4 linked regions of the Styela clava genome follow. The protein of the gene in region 3 interacts with the protein of the main gene of each other region in a pairwise test. Links are inferred from orthologs where the notes say so. Each region holds a gene or a part of one and is shown on either strand. Other genes may lie near its edges.

Evidence for each region.
Region 1: the proteins of centrosomal protein of 63 kDa-like (region 3) and spectrin alpha chain, non-erythrocytic 1-like interact in a two-hybrid assay, tested with the Homo sapiens proteins (2 studies listed by BioGRID and IntAct). The link is inferred for Styela clava from reciprocal best matches to the Homo sapiens genes CEP63 and SPTAN1.
Region 2: the proteins of centrosomal protein of 63 kDa-like (region 3) and pecanex-like protein 4 interact in a two-hybrid assay, tested with the Homo sapiens proteins (2 studies listed by BioGRID and IntAct). The link is inferred for Styela clava from reciprocal best matches to the Homo sapiens genes CEP63 and PCNX4.
Region 4: the proteins of centrosomal protein of 63 kDa-like (region 3) and structural maintenance of chromosomes protein 3-like interact in a two-hybrid assay, tested with the Homo sapiens proteins (2 studies listed by BioGRID and IntAct). The link is inferred for Styela clava from reciprocal best matches to the Homo sapiens genes CEP63 and SMC3.

The regions. Positions count from the first base shown.
Region 1 is NC_135253.1:9,914,298-9,922,108, forward strand, and holds the start of spectrin alpha chain, non-erythrocytic 1-like, read right to left. Parts: upstream 3,015-7,811; 5' UTR 2,949-3,014; coding exon 2,859-2,948; intron 2,398-2,858; coding exon 2,242-2,397; intron 995-2,241; coding exon 869-994; intron 30-868; coding exon 1-29. UniProt on the Homo sapiens protein: Fodrin, which seems to be involved in secretion, interacts with calmodulin in a calcium-dependent manner and is thus candidate for the calcium-dependent movement of the cytoskeleton at the membrane.
Region 2 is NC_135253.1:17,646,794-17,653,666, reverse strand, and holds the start of pecanex-like protein 4, read left to right. Parts: upstream 1-3,864; 5' UTR 3,865-5,128; coding exon 5,129-5,474; intron 5,475-5,639; coding exon 5,640-5,742; intron 5,743-6,374; coding exon 6,375-6,671; intron 6,672-6,873.
Region 3 is NC_135258.1:3,856,130-3,863,279, forward strand, and holds the start of centrosomal protein of 63 kDa-like, read left to right. Parts: upstream 1-4,145; 5' UTR 4,146-4,265; intron 4,266-5,837; 5' UTR 5,838-5,864; coding exon 5,865-6,023; intron 6,024-6,491; coding exon 6,492-6,711; intron 6,712-7,142; coding exon 7,143-7,150. Other genes in the region: uncharacterized protein LOC120339798, read right to left, coding at 479-624, 1,002-1,088, 1,347-1,478, 1,986-2,156, 2,979-3,057, 3,386-3,422. UniProt on the Homo sapiens protein: Required for normal spindle assembly.
Region 4 is NC_135259.1:4,477,020-4,484,650, reverse strand, and holds the start of structural maintenance of chromosomes protein 3-like, read left to right. Parts: upstream 1-4,613; 5' UTR 4,614-7,631. UniProt on the Homo sapiens protein: Central component of cohesin, a complex required for chromosome cohesion during the cell cycle. The cohesin complex may form a large proteinaceous ring within which sister chromatids can be trapped.

The sequences.
Region 1 (7,811 bases), on a different chromosome or scaffold from region 3:
CATAATTTATGAAGTTCTACAAGACGATCCTTTAGAAAAGTAGTGAAATTGATTTTGTTTGAAAATGGAGTACTTATAGGCAATATTCTAAAATTTTGATTTCATAGTACACAACTACACATTGGAAAATTATGATTCCTTGTTTTTGAAATTATCATTCAAGCAATAAATGATAATAATATTAAAACAAATAAAATATAACTCAAACTAATTTATTGTGATTGGTGTTTTTACTATGTTTTGTCGAATATAAACATACCCAAACTAAAGAAAATTGCTTTACTTCTCAGTTTTCTGCATTTTATAAAAAATTTTGGTAAAAGATATATTATGATTAAACTGATATTTGTATTATGTGTGGGAAAGTTACAACTTTACAGAAATCATACTTCACATATTTCTTAGTTTATGTTGCCACTCAATGTTCATGTTCTGAATATACCTTATTAATACAATACATCGAAGATTTAAAGCTCTGCATTTCTAGTATGCGCTAGAAATTTAAGTGCCTTCATCCATAATTTAAAACAAGATGAACTAAGAAAGCAATATGACCAACATCTATGTAGACTGATGGTACGAAAATCAATATTTTCTCTTGTGATATTGATCTTTTTGTACTATATGTACACGTATGTCAGGATTTTCCAAAGAAGGTTAAATAGGCCTATTCAGATTCGTTTACAGTCAATAAGTTGATATTTTAATTAGGGATCAAAAACTTGCTTTTTTACAGGTATTTTTTGAAATAGCCATTCATACAAATTATAACACCGAATTGAAATTCCAAATCCATCATAAAAATTATTCAGCGTTAGTCAGTTCTATCACAAAACTTCTCCGTTTTAATTGGTGTATGAATGTTTACCTTCACATCATCAAGAGCAAAATGATTTTCTTCAATCATGGTTTTTCCAGCATCATCCAGATTTTCCAAAGCACCAGCATTGGCATAAACCTCAGCTTCAAGAGCAGCATGTTTTTGTAATCGAGCCTAAAATGTATAGTAAAACTAAATGCATATTTAAATCCAGAGTTTTGAATTGTTTTTTATGAAACTCACATTTTTTAATTGAAATGCGGAGACGATGCGAAAATTTTATAAAGGTGTTTAATATTATTAATATACCTGTATACAATTAATAATGGTTTTTTCACAAGAAATATTTACATTCGTTAAATTCGGAAATCATATAAATATGGGTACATTTGACTGTCATGGACTCATGAAGTCAAGTGCAGTTTTAAGTATTCTGTGGTATCTGCAGCTGCCGCAAAACCATGGCAGTATTTCCATACCATGGCCGCTACGGCCAAACTCATGGCAACTGACTTTTTAGCTGCCACAAACCAATGTCGAGCTGCCGTTACAGCGGCAGCAAATTGAAAACCAATGGCAGGTACAATTTTGCTGCCGTAACCGCGGCAGGTGGGCCGTAAAGACAGGGCTGTCTATTATGGTGACAAATATTGGGTAAGTTGGAACGTTTTTCTTATGGATACAGTTTTGATTGATTTGGGGTTAGGGTTAGGGTTTAAGTAGATATAATTCCACATGATCAATTAAAATCTGGTACATTAATTTGTGAATATACCGTTAATACTGATTACTGAATACTGAATAGCGCTATAAAACCATGGCAAGAGCTGCCGCGGTTCGTTCGTGGCAGGAGCTGCCATGAAGTGGTAAGAACTGCCCCTCCATGAAGTAGGATATCATAATTAGGGTCTAGCTAAGTAACTCCCTAAAATAACGCCAAACAAAAATGTGAAGGGAAATTACCCCCGAAACTGTTCGCAATATGCCACACAGAAATGTGATGTGAAATTTTAATGTTTTTTCAAAAAAGTCTGTCTGGGGCGGAATGAAATACTTGACAGATGCGTTTAGTTAAAATAAAATTCACTCAATTTTCAACTAACAGACGGAGCAGGTACATCCCATGCCAAACAGGATATAGCGTTCTATGCGAGACAGAAAAATAATAAAAACATGGGCTGTATTTTAACATAACAGTTTTGTTTGGGGTGATTTAAGCAGTTGATGCGTGTACTTCGTTAGACCTCATGATTGATAATATCTAACAATTTATTGTTTTGAAAATATACTCAAACCAGGGCAGTAATATCTCAGGTAGAGCATGCTTGAAAAGCATCAAATTCCACGTCTTCTCAAACCCGCTATCTCTTTCTATGCTAACGCAACTGCTTATAATTTGAAAAATTGCAAGTGTAACACACCTCAAGGTTTGTCAAATCTTTCCAATTGTCTTCTGTTGCAATTACCATTTTTTCCGCAATCCATTTTTCCAGTTCATTCGCATTTCTTTGAAAATTTTGAAACTGCAGTACAGCATGCAACTGTTGTCTTCTAATGACCAATGCATCTTTGAATGCCTGTAAATACACAAACATTTAAAATTTATATCACCTATCATATTACTGTATTATCTGCAATTATAATTTTTTATAAATAGCATGCTTTTTTATAAATAGCAGTTTTTTCTCTCGTTTTCTCGTCGCAATGATTCCAATACAGCAATAGGAAAGAGATCGATAACGCCAGTCAGTTCTTTATCGTCGGCGCCAATGCCATTTCGGGCGATTGTACGTATATTTGGCAAGCTCTATGACGTAATTGTGATGTCGTAGTGACGTAATTTTTGGATGACGTAGTCAGATGGGGGTTAGGATTGACATATCAAAAAATTGTTATGCTAAGCCCGCTAGAGGTAAGTTAGGTACGAAACTACACGAGACCCGGAAAAACTAAATAAATTTGCATATTACAGTATTATCAGTCTTCCGGACAAAAGATAATTTTCTGTAATTGCACTTAAAAAAATTTAAGACCTTACCTTGTACTGGGACAATACATCTTCTCTTCTTGCTGCAATATCACCTGCCGTCTCCAATGGCACAAAATTTGAGCTTGTCGATGTACTCATGTTTTAAAAGTACTGTTGCGCTTAGATTAAATAAATTCTCTAACCCTGTATTTGGTGATACAAATTCAGAATTACTTATTCAGCATTCCATAGCTTGGGCTGTTGGGAGCCCAATCAAAAGTTGGGATGTCTAGGGTGCACACAATTTCATTGTGAGAATTGTTGACATGTTGAAATAATCTTCTGACTGTCTGATGTTATACTTCTTCATTCTGGCATTAGTATCGACAGGCGATTGTATCTACTTACTGACTTAAGTTATTGGTATCAGAATATACAGATATAAAATAGCCCAAATATTTTCATTGTTGTCTTTTTTGTACTATTGTTGTTATAGCTTATTAGGCAGGCCTATCTTAAAGAATTCTCGTTTTTTTTATTTCTTTGGTTTGTATGTGCAGATGTGTGTGTACAGGTGTACGAGTTGAGTATTTTTAAAATATTTTCAGATGATCTATTGACCTAAGAAGCAAGTTCTAAGTTTTGAATCCAGGATCATAATATAATCAGTTTTTTTGTTATCTATCACCAGCGCTTTATGGACTGTCTGACTGTTAAGCTGATTATAGATTCCAGATATATTTAATTATATAAATCAATTGCCATTATTTCATCTGGGTACCGGTACCTAATTGTAACTGCAAGTGGACTAGTGACACATGCAGACATGCACAGAAAAACTCAGGTTTTTTCCGGGCCCATGCTTCTGAAATAGTGGTTATCAGGTTATGGACTGGTAACAGGACAAAATAGAATTGTGTTGTGGAGCGCCATATGAATAAGCCGTCTTTCGGATTTTTCCCCCATACGAAATCCCTATCCTCCCTAATACCTGAGTATAACTTAGCACCGCTCCGCCTCGACCTCTCCGAAGATAGTCCCATATTGTATTGATTATTGCGTAAATCCACAAGGATCGCCGGCAAGATGCGCGCGATGGGCGTGGCTGCTGTGCGGCCTCTCGTTTCAGGTACGGGTAACGGTAACATAAGGTGGCGTAGTGCAGGGGTGCACAACCTCACGTCTTATATTCTGTACGTTTTAAAACATTGTACAAGGTTTTGTCAGCTCTCCTCTCATTTTTGAGAAAGCAAAGCTTCTTTCTATAAGGTACACCGCGTGACCCATCACTAATTAATTAATTACTCGCTAATTATACGACATAATTCATCCAAAATCAATAGGCTTCTGGTCCGAGATATGATGAATGTACATGCAAAATTTAGAACAGATTCAACCTCGCTTTCGTGAGATATCGCGTGCAACTAACAGACAGACAAACAGACAAATACCTATCAATATACTTACCGATCAAGATCGACAAGTAATAAGTTCAGAACATGTGGCGTTTTTTAAATATGTAGAAAAGGACGACGTTGGTCCGATAAGTCAGTAGTATTGTTGCTAAGTGGTGAGAATATTTTGTATAGTTCATGTTGCTTACTCCAGGATTTTAAAATTATAAAGTGCTATTGAATTTGTCTTTCTTTACTTTTTAGCGCTATGAACTATGCAAAAAATAAACTGTAAAACAGCATGGAGACATATTCACTGAATGCAATACTGGTTATAAAAGTTGGCCCGATTCAAACAAATATGTCATATTTATGACCACGTGTGTCATATTTATGACCACGGAAAATATGATTAAAGACGGTACCATAAAAAACCTCATTCTCATATTTTGACAATAATTTTATTGTTAACTTAGTTTTAAAGCCCTGGTCAGTCATGCTTTTTAAATATATTGGCATTCCACATTTTGAGTTTTGATGTATAACAAAGAAAGAGTATGTGGAGGCTGATAATACGTTGTAGAGTGGATGCTATCTCAGTGGTTCTCAACCTTTTTCAGTTCGCGGACCGGTAAAATTTCAAAACAAATTTTATGCCCGGGACCTTCAAAATTAACCGAAAATGTCATGAACACAAAACATAATCAAAAGAATGCAATTACGACAAAAGTACAAGGAAATGCGCAAGAGGCTTTGCAATGAGGTTGCTATGCTGCGAGTGAAAATGTCGCGTTAGCTTTGCGAGTTTCATTGCGTCTTTTGAAAGAATTTTTGCTTGTTTCTGCGTGATCCCGGGGCATGTTGTAAAGTTGAAGTTGCAGTCTCTGTCCTGTTAACACCACTAACTTGGTTTTTACCATTGGGTTTCGTTTGAAAGAACTAGATAATACTTTGCTGTTTGTTTGCCCTCATTTCGCTAAATTATAGGCCTACTGTCGATTTACGGAACGTACGTACTCAATTCAATTTCTCAATTAAGTACCGAACCATGTGCTATCAAACTCCTCCGTTATGACGTTAACCGCCGTTATGAGGTCATAGACCTAACGAACATCCAGCCGTTACGTGAAATGGGCAGAGGACCTCTCACCAAGTTTGGTAGTTAGACGAATACCGGTAATACGTATCAATATTAGATGAAAAAAACACAAAATTAATGGACATTCCGTCAATACTTTGTATTTTGAAATTTGCTTATAATATATTATTATTGGAATATATTTGGCGGACCGACAGCAAGGTTGCCGCGGACCGGCAGTGGAGAACCACTGTGCTATCTAGGCTGGAGAAATAGTCATCAAATGCAACGGTAATACAACGATTGTAATATTTGTAAATGAGCTTACATATTCATATTTTTTAATTATCTTCAGATTCAGATATTCAAAAAAAATATTTATACATTTCCACAAGCTTCAGAATAGTGGTTCTGTGAAGTGAAATTAACCACAATGATGTGAAACATATGATCTATTTTTCGAATTCCAAAAAAAAATGAGCTACAGAACTTCCGTCGGCATAGTTAGGGCATGAAAGCATTTGGGCTAAATTCCAGACATGTCGTGGTGATCCGTAATAATAAAAAATGGTGGTTTTGACTTTTTTTATATATTAACTCGAGGTTCAAACGACAGAAAGACCATCAAAGGATTTTAACGATCTTATTCGGTAGCACTTTAATTCTGCTACAATTTGATATAGGATTCGAATGATAAAAAAGACAGCATTTTAAGGGTAGCAGTGTAGCGGCCATTCAAAACAGTGACCGCTCTTATTGTAACTAAACTGGCAACCGTAACTTAGGGCATTGAACCCTGACCTTTTTGGTGTTGGCGGGTTCTCCTTCTGCGTGAGCCGCTTGGAGGTAAGACTCCTGTGTAATAGCACTGTACAGTATATTACTATTACGGCTCAGCACCATACGATGGCGATGTGCTCGTTAGGGTGATTGAAATAAATAGATCGTACAGGCACTTTGTTTTTGATGACGCGGTTCTGTCTGATTGTCCAAAGATGTTTATTGTTGAGTCAAAAGTTGGTGAAATAGTAGTCAAATACTAATGGTGAAATAGTTGTCAAACAGAAATCCGGTAAAATACAGTGCTATACACAGGAGGGACCAATAATAACTATACGAAACAAAAAAATAGAATTACTTGATGTAAATTTAAACTACGCCTAATAAATAATACCAAAAGGATTCTTGTGTATTCCGATCTAACAATCACAGTAGCAAAACCAAAACTGCGACAGAGGAGCAGATTTAATTTTTCACCATTGATGCTGAGGACCAGTGTTGTTGGCTCATAATTCAGTAATTGATCAATAGGTTAGAGCAGGGGTTCCCAGCCTTTTTTATATATCGACAAATTATTGAGCATTTTAAATATTCGCGGCACACCTATCAGTCTAGGGTTGCCAACTGTCCTTTATTTCAAAGGACAATCCTTTGATTAAGCTTTTCGGTCCTTGTCCTTTTTAGCATTTAGAAAAGATGCTAATTGTCCTTTATTCTTTCCAACGTCGTTTTGTCCGATAGTTATAGTACTGTGTTTGATATTGTTCCGTTCTTAAGAAATCTCCTCCGTTTATGTATTTGTAAACTTTTAATTATTCTTTTTAATTTCGCTTTGGTCCAGCTCAAATAGCCAAAGAAATAACAGTTTTATTAACATTGTTTGGGTCAATGTTAAATAAACATTACATGAAAAACACATGAAGATTGTTTTAATATATCCTTTTAGCTTGTACATGATGTTTATTTCATTGTTTTATATTGTTCTTTCGTCTATGTCCTTCATTCAAACTTTTCATAGTTGGCAACCCGTCCCTACTTATCACAAAACATGGCATTTTCCGTCATGAAGTCATTTTGCTATGAAATAATAATGATCAAATAAGATCAGATAGGGAGAATTTCATTCATGTTAATACAACATACTCTGTATTTAGCAACAGGTGTAAAATAAGAATGGTGATATCAGTAGGACTGTTATGCCTGGTGTTTTTTCCCCACTGCTGCAATTTGTGGACGAATGTGAATACCAATAAATTCGTCTATATTCAAACACATGTTGTTTCTGTTTTCTCACAACAATGTACACGAGAGCGCCTTCGTAGCACCTAACGACGGCTAACGTTATTGTAAAAGATGCGCGGCCGCACGGGTAATGCGTGGTTTTCAAACGTAATGGCGATCACGCGTTTCGGTTTTGTTCGCTCTTCCCCGTTCCATGTTACGCCTTTACTATTATCACGTATTTTCCCTTTTGCACAATATGATTCTTTTTGTTATACAATTTATTATGTTTCTCCCATTGCCAAAATCATTCAATAGCGTTATTGTCGGCAATTGCGGGGGAAATAAAAGACTTTTCACGTTGTGAATTTCGTGCATGGCCTGAGCATAATTTGATGGACAGCATCCCTTTTGCACAACATGATTCTTTTTTTACAATTTATTATAACATTATTACAATTTATTTATGTTTCTCCCATTGCCAAAATCATTGAATAGCGTTATTGTCGGCAATTGAGGGAGTAATAAAAGACTTTCCACGCTGTGAAT
Region 2 (6,873 bases), on a different chromosome or scaffold from region 3:
TATTGTTGTATATCACACCCGGGCATCGCACTGTTAAGTGCATGTGGGAAAGCCAGCTTTTTCAAATACTACAAAGTTATTAATTCAGTACGGTACGTAGTTGCCCATTTGCCGAAATTGCATATTTATCTACCCCTTATGATTCCAAATAGTTCATGCACCTCCATTTAGATTTTTCTAACCAATGAGGATATATACGGATTGCTGTAACATACTATTGCTCAATCACTTCTATTTGCGTATTGATTCAAAGGGTTAATAAGTTCACCTAACATTTCACCCATACCAGGTCTATATTGTATAGTATGATCTCTCAAGTATATGAAGCCACGAATGCCTGTAATTTTTGGACTAAACCCCTTCATTAGTTGGTTTATATACCAAATTCAGTAAAACATTTTTTACATTTAACATGAGATATTGGATTTATTAACTTTTCCATTCTAAATCATATAGACCTCTTTAAATATTCTTGACAAAAATTAATAAATATCCTCTTTTTCTTCAGATGTGAATGTTGTGGACAAACCTGTATAAGCATTGTGAGATTCCTGCAGCACAAGAGGCAATAGCAAAAATAGTAAGAATATCAGTCAAGAAATTAAGTCGACATAAAGCAAAACTTTCAACTATTCGTTTAACCTCAATTTCCCATTATTTATTCACAGGACAACTGTAGCAGACGGCGAGATATCAGAAGTCTGGCAAAATATCAGTGACAATGTGATTCCAAGAAATACAATTAGAGTACTCCATAAATGTTTGCAATAGAAGAACAACCTATGGAGGCATGCAAAGACATTTGACCCCCCCGGTAGAGTTGTGTATGGGTCTTATTTGTAAAAAGGCACAAAACACGCCAGACATAATTAAAACAGCTTTGGAAATGTAGATTATGGGTCACTCACTACACCTGTGTTAGAATTAGTTCCATCATATTTTGGTAGTACTATAGAAGAAATTCAGGGAAGGGTATAATCATGATTCATGATAAAGTACTGTTCAATATTTTGGACAACTTAAATATAGACCAGGGATGTCAAACTCACGGCCCCAGAGAACTTCCAGTGCGGCCCTCGAACGCTAAACAATAATTGTAATAGTTTTTTGAAAGTTTTTTTTTATCTAAATGTAAAAGATTTTTCCAATTTTTTAAAGTGAAATTGATTATTTGCGCAAAAAACAATTTACTGAAAGTAGTTTTGGTAAATTATTATTTTTTTCACATTTTGACCCAATTAAGAATTTACACATCAAGCTAGCAAAAAAATACTTGAATAAAACATTTGAGTGGGTAAATTAAACGCAAAGTACATGAAGAAGGTGGCATTTTCGAAGAAAAATGGGATTTACAATATTTCTGCACTTCTCAAAATTCCGAAGCACATTGTTTTTGTTTTGTCATATTTCCATCAGTACAATGAAATAACACAATAAACTCAGCAGTAATATGACAAATTCAAAGACCAACTTTGAACCGAAAATTCCCATGTGTTTGTATAACAACGACTTAGTTTACTAAAAATCAATATCAACAATAATTCAAGCAACTCAATGCCACGCAATGTGGCGCAAAATTTCTTGTCAAAAAAATCTGTCATTTGTTCGTTTACTGATCTTTACGCTTTCTTGCATTACTGGAATTAATTAAACATTCTCACAGATCCATATTAACCCATGATCATGTGACCTCGTTAGTTACTATAAGAGTTGGTACTATAAAATCATTTCAGCCTGGCCTTAGTATGCTGGTGACACAAAAAAGATGCCAAACGTCAGGGCAAATGTAATTGAGTAAACATTGAGTTAATACTATAGTATTTTTGTTAATTTTAGGTCTATATATTTAGATTAAGTCATTCTTAGTGTATGTATTATTCTTTCCTTATCCAAAGCTTGTTCAAAAATGATTTTGATGGTTGTACATAGAATTTTATGATTTTTTTGTGATAAATACAGTAACTTGCAATAATAGTGGAATGCAAATATTAAAATGTAATTGCATTTGAAATTAGAGAAAATAATAGAACTTAATCCAACTGTTTAATTGCATCACAATATATGTCACAAACTAAAACTATCTTTTAAGTATACATTATCAAAAACTGTTTGCGGCCCTTTTTACAATTTCCAAAATGCGATGCGGCATATTGTATGACTTGTATTGTAACTTGTATTTGCTGTCGCGATGTATTATCTCAATGTGTCAAACTTTTAATTAGTGTGCATATTTTGCTTCCAGGTGACATAAATGTATTGTCTTGTTTATTGCCTCAGCTTGGAGTATTGACAAGAAAAAGGTGCTAGTAAATTACGTAAAAATTTTTTTAACTCTTTGTTATAATCAGAATTCACAATTAATAGGAAATATAAACAGCCAACAATCAATGAGAACTATATGCAAAATTCCTCAGATTAAATTTGTCTTCTAGAATCGGAGGAAGGCAAAAGATATAGGTAGTTTCCATTCACACAAGTCTTTCAAGAAGACTTGCTCGAGCCAAACTAAATGAGCATCATCAGGTGATCGGTAAGGCTGCAAGTTGAAATCAGCCCTGCAACCTCCTGCATAGACGATAATACTAATTAGTGGGCTATGAGCTAAATTTCTAAATTTAGACACAAACATATCTACGAAGCATTATGTACCATCAATGTTACCTACGATAAACTGAATATGTAATATGTCTAATAAATTCACCTACTAAAGCAAGTTCGATGGGTGCAAACTTTGTGTTATGGAATTGTATCACAGCACCGTTAAGAGAAGTATAAACAGTCTTGTTGTTTTGTAAGACACCCACTTTAAATAAAATTTCAATGTTTAAGTACAAACATTAAAATTAGTAACTTTGAACATTGTCATTATCTGCAAAATGTTCCACACAAATCTTTGCCCTATCGCGTTTGTAATCTTCTCTGATAAAATAAAAACGTCTATGATGTCCAGAATTACTCTTTACAGCTAGCTTGTCTGTCATTCCAGCTTTCCAAGTGAGCAAAACTTCTTAGATATAATGATTATTTCCTTTCGTCACAGGCGCAAAAAGGCAGATACTACACGTAAAGAAGGCGCCGAGAAGCAAAAGCGAACGGGAAACGGTCTCGAAAGGCGACGATAACTATGTGCATTGAAGCGTATCATGAAATACAATCTTTCGCGTATAGTCTTATGGAGTGACGTCAGAGTTGCCTATCATGTTGTTTAATGTCATTGATTTATTGGACACGTTAGTTAGTGGACATAACGATCGATTTAATATTAATCATTACCATTAAAAAACCGCTTTTCTTTTCGAATACTGGACCAATTTTTAATATTTTCAGTGGTTAAAAGTACTTTTCTAAATTTTGTGTGAAATGTGATATTTCCTCCAAAATTTTGCTGTATTATTTATTTTTGTTCCGGTTTAATTCTGTAAATTCCTGCTACGAGAAACTCGGGAAAATTTTCGGAGGGGTAGTAGCGTCAAAGGTTTAACTTTTATTTATTTTATTTCTGAATCTTGTGTGAAATCTGATTTTCTCTTTATTTTGTTATTTTTTACTTTTTCTCATCTTGCCTGCCCGTCAGACTGACTCGCTCCACTTTTATGAAAGCTGTGAATTTTGTGAAATCTGATTTTCCCTTCAAAATTTCGCCGTATTTATTTATTTTGTTATTTTTTACTTTTTTGAAACGATTCTGAATTCATCATTGTCAAATTTTCATAATCAGCGTACTTCAATTATTTTTCAAATTTATTGGGTCCTTATCGATACAGTTAGTGCTATTCATTTGAATCAAACGCCAGAGGAGATAAATTTGCGATAACGTAATCATTTTGAAGAAATACTCTTGTATGTTAGTCGTTGCTCTTGCCCACAGCATCGGCACCGGATTTTAAACGACAAAGGAATGCGTGTTTCGAAGTCGATCGTACATTATTCAAACTTTCGGTGTTGAGCGCGCAGGCAAACCACCTGGAAGTCTTTATTTGTGAATATAAAACAATCTTCAAAGTACCAGAAAAGTGTCTGATGGAAGGCGTAGCCTATTTCATGTTCGGAAATTTACTGTTTGTTGTGGTTCATGTTCTCATTGGTCATAGCAACCATAATTTGGCTGTCCGATCATTATGACAATCGAGGCGAATGAGAATTAACATTGGTATATCAAACTTATTTCAGTATTTGGATAGGTCATGTGAAACATGGTAACTGAAAAGTCTAAGGAGGCAGGTAAAACGTAGAAACAGTGACCAGTTCACGGAGAACCCGTTCTTCAGTTCTTGGACCAGTGGAATGTGATATTCCAGTATTCAGCGACTGGGCAAACCCGTTCTTGTTTTTTCTTTAATTTATGTGAAGAGTGTCATGGTAATGCCGCCCACATTCAGACATAATACTTGTGCTGCTGAATACAGTTATATTTTCTGAAATGAGGGACCTGTCTGCCTGTTGCAGTGTTGTTAGTTTGATTCAAAAAAGAACTGTTTTTGAAATAGAACTTGTAAAAGTCTGTAAGTTAACTTTTTTGAAGGACCAGAGACAGACAGATTGGACATAGGGATTAATTAATACCTATGTCAGTATGTATTGTTCTGTTTTATTGCATGGGTGACTAATTTACTTCTGTATTTTGCCATATAGCCTACTGATATAATGCTAAAACCCAATAGCAATTTCTGCCTTTTTTGAGAAGCAGCTTCGTCATAATTCTGTAAATATAAATATTACTGAACTTTCAGAAATGTAATGGCCTGACTGCAAGAGTATTTTACGTCAAATTCGCAATCAATGAAATCAAGAGCAAGCTAGGTCTAATCAAAACATGAAACTGGGGTAAATAAAAATATCTAATATTATTTGCACGACGTGTCGCCAGCGCCCAACAATTGCCCGATTACTAAATTAACAAGTCTTTTCATTCCAAATGTAAGAAGTTGCATAGCCTTGTTTATTTAGTGTACATAATCATACGAATTTTTTCTATCCTGACATCTTTTTTGTACAGATATGATTAAGTTTTTTATGTGGATAAATATAATCTATCATCGTCACATTACCAATATGCATTTTTTTCGGACAATGAAATCTTTATGATCGATATGATATAAAGGGATATCTTCCATTGGATAATCCAACAATGGCAGGATCAGATATTCCACTGTTGAATCATTACAAAAAAGAGTTTGTATATAAAAGACTCCCACAGACGTTTTTCGGTGGACTGAATCTAAAACTTGGGTATGCAGTACCGTGGTATATTTATATTTGTCAAATTCTACTCTGGTTGATGCCATTTTTTATTGGCGGAGCATTCACACTTGGTGTGGAAGTCGGTGGATTAGCTCCTTTTCATGCTTGTATAGGAAATGGATTAGTTGTTGGGATTATCACTCTTTTGCTACAAGTTGGAAGTAAAGTAATTTCGAGAGGGAGTAGTGAGATCGAAGATTCTGATAAATTTAGTTTATCTTCAGCTGCTAGTGGTGAGTTATTCTTTCTTATAGTTTATGAAAAATTTTAATGCTGCATTAGGATTTTTCACAACGTTTATTTAGTATCAGAAAAATCTCTGTTAAGAATATAGTCATTCTATTTTATGGTTTTTCATTTTGAGAATTTTACATGGGCTCTTATTTCTTTTTTGACAGTATCCTCCAAGAAGTTGAGAAGGTTACTTGCAGAAGAAGATGAAATTATATTCGAATCATGCTTGTCATCAAATACTTTCTTATTTTTGGTTCCTCCAAAGAGGTAGGTATATTGTTTTGTTCTTTTACTATTTAGGGTATTTATTCAAATTTCATGTTGAATTTTTGGTTATTATTATTAATATCTTTTATTTTTTTTTAAATATTTCTTATTGTTCTTAGCATAATCAAATAATTTCTTATGAAAAAGCAGCTCGTATTGCACTTAGCAGTGAAATATGAATTGCAATAATTTATATATTATATTCGTATCTTATTTATCAACAAATAGTTGAAAATAGCTCATAGACATTTCCTACAATACTAGCACAAGCCCAATTTCTAACTGAAACTTCTCCGTGTTGCAAACTATTGTTGTAATGACCTGAAAAATTTTGTTATTCATATTATCCACCACTCTAGTGTTATGGAATCCATTTTCGTTCTAATTCAGGAAGTAATGAAGAACTAAATAGCAGTACAAATGCAATCATATTACACCTGTTAATTCTGATCAGTTTAACCTACTGAAAATTGTTTCTCATACAAAATTATTCTGAATAGTAATAATGCTCAAAATTTAACTGGAGTGTAAATGTTTTTACTCAAGTAATAAGCCATCCTTTACCTTGATTTGAGTGAAACAGATTAATTGATTTTTCTACCATATTTAATATTATTTTATTTTGTTTTTAGGTTTTATTCGTCCATCGTCACCGCATCTTTATTATCAATTTTTGTCAATGGTTTGGGTATGTGGTATTCGCTACCTTATACCACGTTCACCACTCTATATGGTTACAACACCGTCAGTAGTATTTTCTTGTTCATATTTTGTTGGATTGTTATTTGCGTCGCCCAGTATCCTTTACTTCTTGGAAATCCTATACCTGAAACTGCTGCATATCGTTCAGTGGATTTTTATGAAACTCAAAATCTTTGGAGATCTCTCACTGTGTCATTATTTTTGATAGTCTTCTTAGTAGATATTCTGTGAGTATGTTTTTCAAATTAATAACTAATTATGAGGAAATAAATTGCTCGCATTTCTTCTATCAGTACTCCCTGTACTTTTGGGTAGTGGAAGGGGCTCATGATTTTGCGTTTGACGAACATGAATAAAAACTAATCAGCGAAACGTTAAAATTTTTATTTTCAATAAATATTATATTATTTTTTTATGTGTTTTTTAATT
Region 3 (7,150 bases):
CGATTTGAGAACCACTGGTCATATGGAAAATAAATAAACAAGTCCATGCTTGAAAGAGAAATGAAATTAAATTCATTAGATTCGCTTCGCACTTGAACTACGAATAATTATCTAGATAGCCAGCAACTGATAAGCAAGGATCCAATCATATTTGAAAGAAATGGAATTATTTTACTTTGGCATTGTCCCCATGGGTGTACAACAGGTGGCCCGGCCCGCGAGTCACAACCCGGCCCGTCAGGCCTTTTGTAAGGCCCTTATCAACACTAATATTCTTAAATCTTATGACGATTTGCCCGGTGCATTTATTACTGTAAGGCCAGGGAATAGCAGCATTCTCTTCTTTTGTCCCAGCTGAATGTTTGAAGTTGGTTATATGGCCCACCGACAAAAAATGTTGCACACCCCAAAATCTTCATGCGACCCCATGAGGGGGCGCCACCCCAGTTTGGGAACCACAGACCTATTCTATACATACCATCTTCAATAGTAGACTCTCCTGTTTCTCCAGTAGTGATTTCCAGCTTTGGCAAAGTAACTGCTGTAAAATCTGGAACTCCCGGTATCTTAGGTGGGGTAGTGCTGATTGGTGATGGTGGCAAATTAGACCAATGAGGTTTGAATCTAAAGTTTGAACAGGAAAAAAATAGGCAATTAGCTAAAAAACACGAGTCTAAAACAAAAGTTAAATGTCTAACTAATAGGGCAACCATTGTACCAAACGACATATGAAAGTTTACCCATGAACTAAAAAAAACAGTCAAATTTGGGACAAAAGGATAAAATCTGATATAAATGTAATAGTGAGTGAAAAAATTCACACAGTAATTCGATGGTCACTGGTTCGACCACTAGAAAAGAAGAAGTTCGTCTATATTCAAAATTTGTTCAAAGCAAGCCTCAATGCAATGTAACACTCACTAAATTAAACAATCAAACGAGACATATCTCTGAGCATAGTCACAGGTGAACACACTCACTCACACATTCATTACACCCACCTATCGCTTCCAGGAGTGTATCCATTGCCCGGCATCGAGTCCACACCATTCACCATCATGTTGTTGTCATTGCTATCTGAGAGAGTCCTGTGAAATTGTTTGTTCATTACAAGTAGGGGTGAAAAAAACAATAGAATATTCATAGTCACAATGGTATTGTGGGTAAAATGATAGACAAAGTTGCGTTGGCATCCAAAAATAGTGGTTTTCATATATCAATAAATACAGTTGCTGCTCATTTAAAAATTACCTGAGCACAAAGGCCTATCAATATAATTAATTAAATTTTTGACAAGGTCAAATTTTTATTTTCAAAATTGATTTTTATTTGAAAAAAGGTCTTACCTTGGTAGATTACTCCATGAGCTGACAACCATTAGATTTTTCTCAATTCCTCTCATAAATTTATCACATTTTGTGTAATTCTTCCTCGGTTCTGCAAGAAGTTCACAAAGTCTTTGGATTGTGAAAGGCGGACTGTAAAAGAAAGATTCAACTAATTTTTCCTATCATTTCTCACAGTATTATAAGTTAAATGGGAGCTGGGAAGAGCTGCGGAGTCTGAAAAAAATAATACCAAGCAATGCCATAGAGCCAACAGAAATTTGCTCAAAGTATTGTAACTGATTAAATTTATTTTCATCAGAATGCGACCACTATGGATGTTTCCCCAAGCATCAATCAGCATGCCTCACGAGAACATTTAGATGAGTTGCAATAATTAAAAATCGATACTGCAAATGCTGCGATAGACTATTATAAAATTAGCTATAAGTATCTGTAAGCGGCACGCAGTTTTGCGTTTTAATAAAAATGAGTTTTGAACATGTGAGCCAGTTTGTATGAGCTAATTCCCCAAAACACTCTCGAAATGAGCGTTTAAAATTTTGCAATGGTTAAGTATAGGGAGATTTTTTTGGGGGTCAAGGGTCGAGGAAACTTCCACTGGCCCAAACTATTGAATCAAGAAACATAGTAACACACCTGTCAAACTCTTCCGTCAACTGCAACAATCTTTTTTTCATTTCATCAAAATCATCGTTGGTCGCATTTGCGTTGATTTTCCCAACTTTATAAGGAGCCATATTGTAAAATTCATCTAACACTGACGTCAATTTCTTCATGAAAACTTTCTGTACTTTCTCCCATGGCCCCCTAGTGGAGAAGAATATATTAAACTTCAACAAGGAATACAAAATTTTGCTTATTTGCAAGACAAGAATAATAGCTTAAATAGCTAAGTAATTGTGAAAAATCAAGAACTCCATCAAATTGGTCAAAACTCAGGGATGACCAAAACCGGAAAATGTTCCACATGCATTCTCAATAGCTGGGAAGGATGATTTTTGTAATGTAGCTATTCTAGATATTTTTCACTGATCAAGAATTTAACACACCAAATATTCGATACAATTTGGACATCTTTGAGTATTTGGGTCTAGTATAGTTTAGTACCACAGGTACTTCCAGTGGGCGTAGCATAACGAATTTTGCACATGTTATTCCTAACCCCCACCTGACTATGCAATCCAAAAACTACGTCACTACGACGTCGCCATCACGTCATAGGTCTTGCCAAAGTATAATTACGATCGCCCAAAATGACATCTGCGCCGCCGATAACAAACCCGCTAAAGCCAGCGATCTCTCTCCTATCGTGATCGTTGTGACGAGAAAACAAGAGAGATAGCTTGCTCGATTTCGGGTGCTCGTCTGCGCGTTTTGGACGACCTTTCACGTACTTTGGTGGCCATTATTACGCCACTGTGACGTCGAAATGACGTAATTTTTGGGTGACGTAGTCAGGTAAGGGTTAGGATTGACATATGCAAAAATTGTTGAGCCAGGCCAACTAGAAGTGCATGTGGTACTAAACTATATCAGACCCGAGTATTTTTAGGGCTGTGTTTCTCAAAAAGTGTCAATACCACAAAACTTAACACAGAACCCAGCCAACAACCCAGAAACAAAACTTACAAGATATCTCCGGTCCTTGCAATGTAAGTTATAAACCGATCAAGTTCTTCTGACAGGGGATCTTGTTTTTCTTCATAGCCTAAAAAATAAAATAAAAATGTATGAGAGATAACAATGTCCAGACATCTCCCAAAGGAGGGGTGTCTGATCATATGGAAAATGGTTTCTCTGAAACGGGACAAAGTCACCCGATTTGTATAGTGTGCCGTACTGTAATATCAAGATTTAGAATTCACAGACTCCATCATTGTTTGCCCTACCAATTCTACAATCAGTTTTATTTCTTTTGTTTTTATCAATTATTTTATCGCCTATTATGCTGATTATTGAGTCGAAAAAAACTCATAACGTTACTCATACTTGATAAATGAAATATTGAAAAATACAATTTCAAACAAAAAACTCACCCTCGATGGCCTGAATAAAAATGTTTGTGTCTTCCATTGTTCAAATATTTCACAAAAATCCTATATTCTACAACTTTAATCCATCTTTCGCACTAAACATTCAACAATTACAAACTACTTATTTCAGTCTTTCAGAAAGGACGTCGAGCATTATTCAGATTTATCAATTCGACAAGATTTAGAATTGAGCTAAAATTCTTAATGCCATATTTTTTTTAAATATTTTTGTGTGAGCGAACACATACTTTTCCATCTAAATTCTGTACATTTCAAACCTTACTCGAGGTTTTGTTTGCTCTCCCGATTCTATAATCAGGTATTTTTTTGTCTTCATTTAATATTTTATCGTCTACTGCTGATTATGAATAATACCGGTAAACTTATACCGGTACTTAAATTAAGTAAATAATAAATTCCAATTTACCATTTAGTTTGAAATAATTAAAATTATACTGAACTAAATTTCAATAATTTTTATAATATTATATATTTAACAGAATAATAATTGGTTAACTTTCTAAATCTATTTTCTGAATAAGTATATAGAAACGAGTACGGTACATTTAGTTGGCAATTCGTACGACGACTAGACGTCAACATTATTCTGCTCTCGGTCGCCGAATGTGTTTTCTTTCGCTCAATTAGTTTGAGTTTTTTTATCTGATTGAATATACCATAAATAATCTTCAACCGCATTTTATTAATATAATTTTAATATTAATATTAATTCTTATATACTAATTACCTCATTACTTTTATAAGAATATATAATCCAGTATCAGCTGTTTACACGCTAGGATAATTTTTGTAATCACTGAGGCGCGACAACGAACACCAACAGAAAATTTTACAAAATCGTTGGCGGAAAAACGAAAACCAAGTGAGTTGTAGTAATTTTTTGGACGGGAGTAAATATGGGGGAAGGTATAAGGATTAATTGATGTTCAAAAAAGTTCAAACCAAATTAGAATTAATGTTGACTAATTATTGTTAGTGGTATGTGCTGTTGTATATTTTTATTATTGTTGCAATGCTCATTTCATTGTTTGTGGAAATAAATCTCTCTCTCTCTCTCTGCTCTGTTTTCAGGTTGGCGAAATCTCTCTCACTCTGTTAAATGTAAACCTGTAGTTGCTAATGGAAAACATTTACAAATACAGAAATATTCTTTTTTGCCTTTGTCAGTGTTGGTCTTTTAGTGAACAGCTAACACATGTATTCCACAAGTTTGCTGGATGTGATTAGTTTATTTTTTAAAGCTTTTCCGAATGCCCATATAAATTGTAACAAAAATTGTTGTGATTTATGGTAATGATTAAATAGGGCACAGTATTCTGATTTCAATATGTCCCGACATTTGGTTCAATAAAACAACATTATATTGTCTCTGAAACGAGGACGTCTGTTACGATGACATATTCTTTCTTTGCTAAAAACTCTGAATGCTACAACAGAAAATATTTTTTTAATCTTGTAAACTCGATTATCTTTTTCAAGGAATTCAATAGTAATGTTTTTGAATTGCACTTCCGTTTGGTTTATCTGCAGTGCCGGTTTGTGTTTTGAGGCGATATGGAGCCCCCAGACTTTTTGGGTCTCGTGTAGTTTCGTACCTAACGTACTTCTAGTGGGCGTAGCATAACAATTTTTTGATATGTCAATCCTAACCCCCATCTGACTACGCCATCCAAAAAAATTAAATCACTACGACATCACAATCACGGCATAGAGCTTGCCAAATATACGCACGATCGACCGAAACGGCATTGGCGCCGGCGATAAAAAACTGACTGACGTTATCGGTCTCTCTCCTATTGGAATCGTTGCGACGAGAGAACTGTTCGATTTCGGGTGCTCGTTTGCGCGTCTTGGATGGCAGTTCGTATAGTTTGAAGGGCTCTATTACGTCACTGTGACGTCGTAATGACGTAATTTTTGGATGGTGTAGTCAGGTGGGGGTTAGGATTGATACTTGAAAAAAATTTCATGCTACGCCCACTAGAAGTGTGTTAGGTAAGAAACTACATGAGACCTGACTTTTTCGTAAAGGGGGGCCTCGCACTCACTGTTATAATTAATGTCTTTTTTATGTGGGTTTTTTTTTTTAATAGGAGAATTGTGCTGTAGAGATCTAATTTACTGGAAGGAAAAAAATTTTGAAAGCATTTGAGAGTTTATAGCAAAAAAACAGAATTTTGGTCACGTGATGGCAGAGTGTTTTTTTTATGTGCCCAAATGTCGGGACATATGGGAGTCAGATAACTATAGCCTACTGTCTTCATGGTTTTTTGTTGCAATGATTCTGTTTCTATGTTTTTTTAAGACTGATTCATAAAATTATGTAGCCTATCCCAACATACTGACCTAATAATTTTCATCCAAATTAAAATGCACAAGTTTTTTTTAATTCAACAGGATTGCGTAAATTATTTTTCTATATTGTCCTTTACAGGATAACACATATTAGCAGCACATAATTATGGACACTACAATATGGGAAGGTATGCAGAAGCAACAATTAGATGGTGGATTACTACTGACATCATGTGGTGCTGAACTGCAAGAATTAATGCGGCAAATTGACATCATGGTCCGACATAAGAAAATGGAATGGGAAGGGGAACTAGCAGCTGTACAGGTAACTATTTCTGTATTCTTCGATAAGATAGTAATTTTTTTTTGCTTTCAGCTTCACTCATGCCTTTTGCTTCAAACAAGGCTAGACAAAAGCTGTTATTAAGCCATTTCTAACTAGATCCCAAATAAACACTCTACAAACTCACTTCGCTGTCGGGAGTTATCCAAGCTATAATAAAGGATTGTTGGTAGTAAGCCAAGAAACGTTGAGTTTCAGTGTATTGTTCAAGAATAGAGCAAAATGGTATTGAAAAGCCGCAAAATTGATGTCTGACTGCGATCCCTGGAAAGTGCATTACAAAAAAATATTGAATTTTTTTGGGGGAGGGGGGAGGCATGGCGTATGTTTTTTGAGTATTTATGAGAGTCAAGTGGGAGGCATGAGATTTATCTATACTAAGACTTTTAAACTCGGCCTATATGCAAGGATATAAGGCACTTCGTAAATAATCTCTTCTCACTATTGCAGGACAAACTCGAAGTTCGTGAACAAGAACTCGGTCACACTAAATCTATGTTAAATCAAAAACATCAGGAAGTAGGAATGTTGAAACACAAATTAGATGGGTTTGACGGTAGCCAACGAAACGTGGTAAAACAATACGAATCCCAGTTATCGTATCTTCGCAACGAATTACTACAATTGAAATCGACGTACTCAAAAATGCAGAAACATTATGCAAAACAAGGTGATTATTTAATCAAATAATTTAAAATACTATATAACATTTATTTTACAAAAAATTACTTCGAATTGAGACAGCCATGCTCATACAATTCCTAAGAACACTCCATTACCAGATATTAAGTAATCTATAAAATCAACTAGAAAATAATATCAATAACTTTCAAGTTTATTGATGAAATAACAGGCGACCCAAAAAGATTTTTCATGCAACGCAGTTTTGGGTCGCGACGCAAAGGTTGAGAAACACTGCACTAAGCCATCACACCTACTAATATAACGCAAACAATTTTGTTTTTACCAATTATTCATATCTTCCATTATTTTCCAAATAGAGTATCGACCCTGGCCTTGATCGTAGACTGAAAATATTTGAAATTTCAGATTCGATAGAAGTACTTTATTTTACCTACCCTAGCTGTTATCTTTCAACAGGAAAGATA
Region 4 (7,631 bases), on a different chromosome or scaffold from region 3:
CAAGTAAGCACAACAAGCAATTTAGATATCAAAATAAGTAGGGAATACATTATAAGCCGTTCAAAACTTCATTAGCGACGTACATGATTTAACTTCCTCCATCGTTGAGTGTTTACAAAAGCAAAACAACCTGCAGGGTCAATTTAAAATGCAGTATTCTGTATCTGAAAATTACAAGCCTCGTACAGTTTTGAACCCTGAAACTAAACTCAATTTATTGTTAACATTGGTTGCCGCTGAACGGTCCTGGTTTCCCATCCAAATGATATATAGTACCGGCATTTTGTTTACGAATTTATAGAAACAAAACTACCGTCTCTTTCGCATACCTTAATATATTTATGAAATGTTCTGTCTCTAACCATTACAAGATCACACATTTTGCTAAACAGTTTGGATAGAAACAAACAGCATTTATAACGACGCAAGAAATTTACCAGCTTATCGCAAACACGACCCGCCTCGAGCAAAGACCTCGGTCGACTGCACGACTTCTCTCTACTTTCGGGCCCGCATCGGCGAAGCGAAAAAAGAACCTCGGAGAAAAATAACGTCTGTATGTCACAGACGCGGGGGCAGAAAATTCCTAGTTTTGAAAATCGACTAATTAATTTAGCATTGTTATATCTTCGCTATACAATGAGAAGTATTTGAAGGGAGTCAATTGTTGAATTGTTATAATTGATTGACAAAATGCAGCAATCTCGGCTAGTCTGCACCCTTGCAATAATGAATTGAAGCTGAAAAGTTTTGGAAAACAATTAACCATAATGGCAAATATCATTTTATGAATCTTATTCAACAAATAGATTACCATTTCAAGCAAATTGAACTTTAGTATTTTTGCTAATTTTGTCCTCGATATTATTTTGTCGTCCTCTCAAAAAAATATAGAAACATTATACCAGAGATTTTGGACTAGCTTCTTGTTCATTCGCTTTGCGTTATGCTGTATCCATAAAAGTTATCCATTATAGTGTCCAAGCTAGCAGTCCTTTAAACTCCATAGAATACAATTTAGTGATCTCTATAGCCTCATTACAATTAAAACTGATATTTTAAAAATGAGTCCACGTTTGAGCGATTCTAAAACTATAACTGGAATATTAACACAGCGTCCTCTGAGCAACTCCACTCTCAAATGTGGCAAATGTTCGTTTGTAGTTAGTTACTATATTTTACCAATCGGTGCTAAACCATCGGAATCGGTTCCTGTGAAATGCGGAAGCTGCAAGTACTATCAGAGCTGCTAAATGCGGAGCATGAGGACATCGCACAAATAACAAACGCGGCGGGAGAGTCAAAGTAAATGGTGATAAAACTGGTGCAACGGATGTTGATTTGCATGCCTGCAACTGGGTTCAATTAGCAAGCTTACGATAAGCTGTTATTCTTCTCAAATCCCGAATGGATAACAAAATTTCCAGCGATAAATGGCTAACTAGATTTTCTATATTGGGGAATCGACTATTTTGATCTATGCGATACATACTGTTTCAAACTTACCCTATTTCATATAGTTGCTTAGCGAAATATAGGTAAAGAGCTGTTTATCTACAGTGTATATCTGAAACGCTTTACACTGATAGTATCTTAACTATGCAACATATAAGAACATTACATCGCCGCTTTTTCAATAACTTCCAACGTTCGCCAGGTTCCTTCTTTATTTGTTATGGATATATGGTCATCAACTAATGCATATACCTGCGTATATTGTCACTGTCAATAAAGCTATTTAGTAGTACGTAGTTATGGAATAACTCCGTAAAAATGAATCCAAAAAAATTCTTTATTTTTCGACACCGCCAGTTTCATATATTACCCTTCCACATACATACACTGCCGCCGAGTAAATCATTCTTTTCGGAAAATGGCTAAAATGCGTGACAAAAATGTGAACTACATGGCGATAGTTGTTGTTTCGTTTCCAGCGCAACGCAGGGTAAGTCCTGAGTCATACATCGTCAAAAGCATTAAAATTGGTCAAATTATGTGTGTGAATTTAAAGGCCCAATATGCTACTCAAACAAAAGAAAACAGAATAATAATGGCCAAAAGTACGCCAGCCCAAAATTTTGGTGGGGGCCAAATATATATTGTATTTTCAAGCAATGATATTGGGTCTGAGACATCACTTCTTTAAGCAGAAAAAGACCACATTCGATCGTTAAGGAAAATAACATTCAACAACTTAGCTGGCTTTTTGTAAATACAATATTTTTTCCCGAACAACTTTTTCTTTGATACAACAAATATTTATGAGGCAATCTGAACCAGTAAAAACCCGTCCTTCGCTTTCCGCCAACTATGCTCGCCACAACCCGATTGATCTTCTCCTTAGTGATCCTTTCACGATGACAATAAAGGACACACAAATCGAAAAGGGGATTGGACGTCATTGATGGGCGCAGCCATGTCTTGACCCGTTTCCTACAGGAAAAAGAACGCTCAGCATTAACGGTTGTTGCTGGTAGCGTCATACCGATCTATATTGCCGTGTGCACGTTTGAATAATCTCGACTGCTCAGAAGAAGCTCCTTCGTCGTTGACGTCGGAGCTCAAAGAAGATCTCCATAGTCTCACTTCATTCAGGAGGTTATCCAACAAATACAAAAGCTCAATCTCATCCACCCGGACTGGTTCGTTCGGAGGAAGAATTGATAGTGAAGCAAAAAACGAGGGGTTGCCAATGAAGCGTTCCCGGATAGAGCAGCTCAAGCCGTCGACGTATGGAAGATATACGGAACGTTGGGACTGGGACGCTGAATCAGCACAGATGTTGTCGTGATAAACTTGTATCTCGACTACTCTGGGCATTATCAGATCTTGGTAATCTTGGAAATTTGGGAGGGGCCATGGCCCCTCTCGCCCCCTGCTGGCTACGCCTATGATAATGGCTTTCATTGTCAAGACTGTTATGTTCTATGCTTCGAGTAACATACCTTCGCGTGGACATTTGGGAAATGGAAATTTTGCAAAGCATCTTCAATTTCGTATCGACACCGGGGGTGGAGATTTGATACAAAAGGAGATTCTCGGGGTAGCAAGCAATATGATAATGCAAGATATAATTATGGAGAACGTTTGTGTCCGTAAGGGACAGAACAACTAAGCATTGTTTTAAGATATGTGAAAGGTAGCGAACTGTTTTCTATCATATAGAACCATTCTGATAGAACCATTCGCGCGCATACTCCACGCGGTCGGAGTCAGTGTGCGTCAGTAAAGAGCCTCACATCCTCCGTTTAGAGCGTTCTCACTTAAGAACGCAATGAATCGGACATTGCATCGAATATTTACAAAGAAACTTGTGAAATAGCTGACTTGAAAGATTTTACAATACCCAGAGTAGTTGAAGTACAAGTTCAACGCGACAACGTCTGTGCTGATTCAGCCTCCCAGTATTCCCAACGTTCCGTATACCTTCCATATGCCGACGGCTTCAGCTGCTCTATTCGGGAACGCTCCATTGACAATCCTTCACTTTTTCCTTGATATCAATTTTTCACCCGAATAAACCAGTCCAGGTGGATGAGATTGAGCGTCTGTATTTTCTGGATAACCTCCAGAATGAAGTGAGACTGTGGTGAGCTTCTTTGAGCTCCGACATAAATGACGAATGTTTGGAGGAGATTCGTCTGAGCTCTCGAGATTATCCAAGCGTGCACACAACAATACAGATCGTTATGACGCTACTAGCAAGTAGCAGCAACTGTTGAGGCTGAGCGTTTTTTCTTGTATAAACGGGCGTAGACATAGCTGTATTTGTCACCGTGAAATGGTCACTGAGTGGAATATCGGGTTTTGTCGACTGTCGAGCATTTTAGTGTGATTGCAGCATTAAAAATTAGCCCCAAAGCTGCGACCAACTAAGCTAAAATTTTCACATCAAAAATTTTGATATGGTGAAGTATAACAAACATTTAATTGGGGTAATCATCCACTGCGGGAGCAGTTCGCTTCAATGGTTACGACTTTACTCGCACCCAAAGTACATACCTCCCGAATACCTCCAATTTTAGTTTAAATTTTTGAGATAAAAACGACATCTGTCGTTTAATATCGGAAATAGAACATCGGTAACCAAAATTTTTTTTTAATAACATAAGTGAAATATTTTACTGTTAACAACTCGTTTTACCATCATTACAATAAGCGTTATATACAGCGGTGGGATTCAAATGTTTTGTCAGACGGTTCCATCACAAAAGTCATATTTTCCAGCCGGTTCTCAAAAATCGGTGTCTCAGGTAAGATGCAAAAATCCATTGACAGTAACCAGTAATGCTAACCGGTTCGCTGATCTCAGAAAATTCCGTGAGACGGTTCTGTAGAATCGGTGCAAACCGGCTGAATCCCACCACTGGTTATATATCCATAAATGTTACAATTATAACAGTAGAGTAATATTATTAACATTTGAATAAAAGATGTAAAGAGACATTTTTGAAAGGATAGTCATCTATTTATTTTAGTCTACACATCTATTTATAAATTTATATACATACCAACAACCCCACAACCAAAGCGACGTGAAATTTTGAAATAACAAATCCATTGTTGCGTGAAGAGGGTCAGGGGTCATATTATGACGCAAAACGTAAAATGGCGGCAACTCGGGTTCAGTCGCTTTTCCTTCGCTTTCGTTTCTGATTTGTTTTTGTTTTGCCTATTATTTGCAGACAATCAGACATTTGAAAGACACTAATTTGAAATGGAGTTAGCTTGGACAATAGTTTTTACCGTCGAGCGCAAAATTTTCAAAACTGCATGATGATACAGATACGTCACAGTGATAGGTGCATGAATTTTCAGCTTCTTGACGTTGAGGAGTTTCAGAGATGGAGGTCCAGTGACTGATTGCAGAACCGACTTACACGCATACACTACCCTGCTACCGGTACCGTGATTGCTACTGTCTGACTGTGCTACCAAATGCTGAAATGAATAGCCTATTATTGTTTTTGGTGACAAATTTAATTTTTGTAAAATGTTTCTCTTTGTTAAATTAAAACTAATGTTGAAAATTTTTTTTCTGCAAAAATGCCATTCATGATAAACTTTGAAACTCCCAAATGCTATGGTAATTTTTTGGGTCTGGTATAGTTTAGTACCACATGCATTTCTAGTTGGCCTGGCTCAACAATTTTTGCATAGGCTTTGCATAGGCTACCGTATGTCAATCCTAACCCCCACTTGACTACGTCACCGAAAAATTAGGTCATCTCGACATCACAGTGGCGTAATAAGGCCCACCAAAGTATGCGAATGGTCGTCCAAAACGCGCAGACGATCACCCGAAATCGAGCAAGCTATTTTTCTCGTTTTCTTGTCACAACGATCACGATACTGCGATAGGACTAGGAGACCAGACTGAATTCCATGGCAGGTGCACGCCCGAGGTTGCTAGCGCTCCGCATAAATTCATGCAAGCAAATTCAATTTTGCACGCCGAGAATTTGCAATTGCTCACCAATGAAAATTGGTTTAATTGGTTTTTAAATTAATAATCCAGTAATATAAAGATGCCAACAAATTGTAGCTCCACAATTGTCGATTTCATACCTGCATACAGACATACTAGCTTGCAAGATTTGGCCTGGTCAGAAAATGCCTAAGCAAAAAAGATCATGTTTTTCATAATTGCTTGGCGGTATGGCGCATCGTGTTGATTGATAGGGACTTCGTGAGAATAGTTATGGGCGAATAGATCCCCAGACTCCTCGCAGACGCTGGTCAGTCACGGCTCTGATTCGGCTTATTTTTTATCCAATGATTTTACGCAAAAACACTCCCAAAATTGATGTCAAAAAATAAAAATAATGTTTGTGGGTCAAATGTCAAACGTTCATTTTTTAGACATTTGAGTAAGTAATGACAAAGTATATAAATAGTAATACAATACAATACCGGTAATTTTAGGCGGATATATTGAACAGTATCTAAAGTCAAAGTCAGTTGCACGCGGGCGCAGTTGCTTTGCACGTCGTGAGCTATAATTGCACGCCGGGAATTCTGATTTGCACGTGGGAATTTCTGATTGCACGCCCGATTTCTCGTTCAAAATGGCCATGAAATCCAGACTCGATAGGAGAGAGATCGCCGGCTTTACCGAGTTCGTTATCGCGACGCAGATGCCATTTCCGGGCGATCGTAATTATAATTTGGCAAGCCCTATGACGTAATGGTGATGTCGTAGTGACGTGATTTTTGGATGGCATAGTCAGGTGGTGGTTAGGAATAACATATGCAAAATTCGTTATGCTACGCCTACTGGAAGTACTTGTTGTACTAAACTATACTAGACCCAATATTTTTCTTTGGGTAAATCAGATTATTTTTTTCTGAGTAATTTTTAGATTTTGTCCCCTTGAAGGCCCAGACTGGCTTGTTAAAGGAAGGAGGGGGGGGGAGGTTGCATTCATTGATATACGAATATATGGAATTGCGCAAAAAAACTACAAAGAAGCGCAATCTAAAAACGTCATAGTTGACTCCCTCGGTGAAGAAATAGTCCGATTTACAGAAGGAGAATTATTTCTATCGTCTGACCGTGGCATTTGAGAGTTTTTAGCAAAAAATGGCAATTTTGGTCATGTGCCAGTGTGCCCGCCACGATTATATTAGATTATAATCGAGGCAAGCATGGCACCATATGACGCATCTGCCGTTGTGCCAGACACCCCTCGTTTGTAAGACACATGGAGTGTTTGTTTTATTGAACCAAATGACGGGACATTCTTGGAATTTGGAAAGTGTGCAATGAAAACAAACACTTCATTTGTCTCTGAAACAAGAGTGTCTGCCCCGACACGAAGGCAGATGCATCAGATCGTGCCATGCTTGGAATGCCCCAGTAAATATTTAATTGACTGTCTCTACAGACTGTCTCGTAAATGAGGGGTTTGCTCCTACTGTTATAATCAATGTCTTTCAATATAGGCGATATCCTTGAAATCATAGAACTTTGCTGTACGGAATGGATAAGTTATTGCTAAATAAATAGTGAAATCATTCGAAATAAATTTACTCTAGAATTCGAGAGTTTCTAGCTAAAACAGTCCTGCAGTCAGGAAACGAACTTTCAATTGTAGAATTGAATCGAATTGATTTATATTATAATCGCAACAAACATGGCACGATGTTACGAATCGGCAGTGGTGCCAGATTCTTTCAGTGCTTTTTATTAATTTCCGTAAACACTGATTTTTAATGTTAGTAATATAAAAATTGTTGTTCTTTTTATTTCAAAACTTTAAAATTTCTAGACAAGGTTATATTAAATTGTTTCATTTTTTTATGTTTCATTTTAAAATACATTTTTTAATAATTTTGTAGGGTTTATTATTTTTATATCTGTCAAGTTAAAAAGCTGGTTTATTCTGCTATTTTTTTACAGTAATTATTGAATAAATAAAGTAATAATTGAATATATTGACATAGGAGTAAAAGTTGACAAGATGAAACTTTTTGCACATGTTTTCAATAATGCATTTTTTCCATTTTTACATGCTTACTCAATATGAATAATATTGTAATATAACTCGGTTCATGGACTACTTTCTGTATAATGCTCCATACTGGACATGATTTGGGTATACATTAGAAGTATTATTTACCTTTTTCGA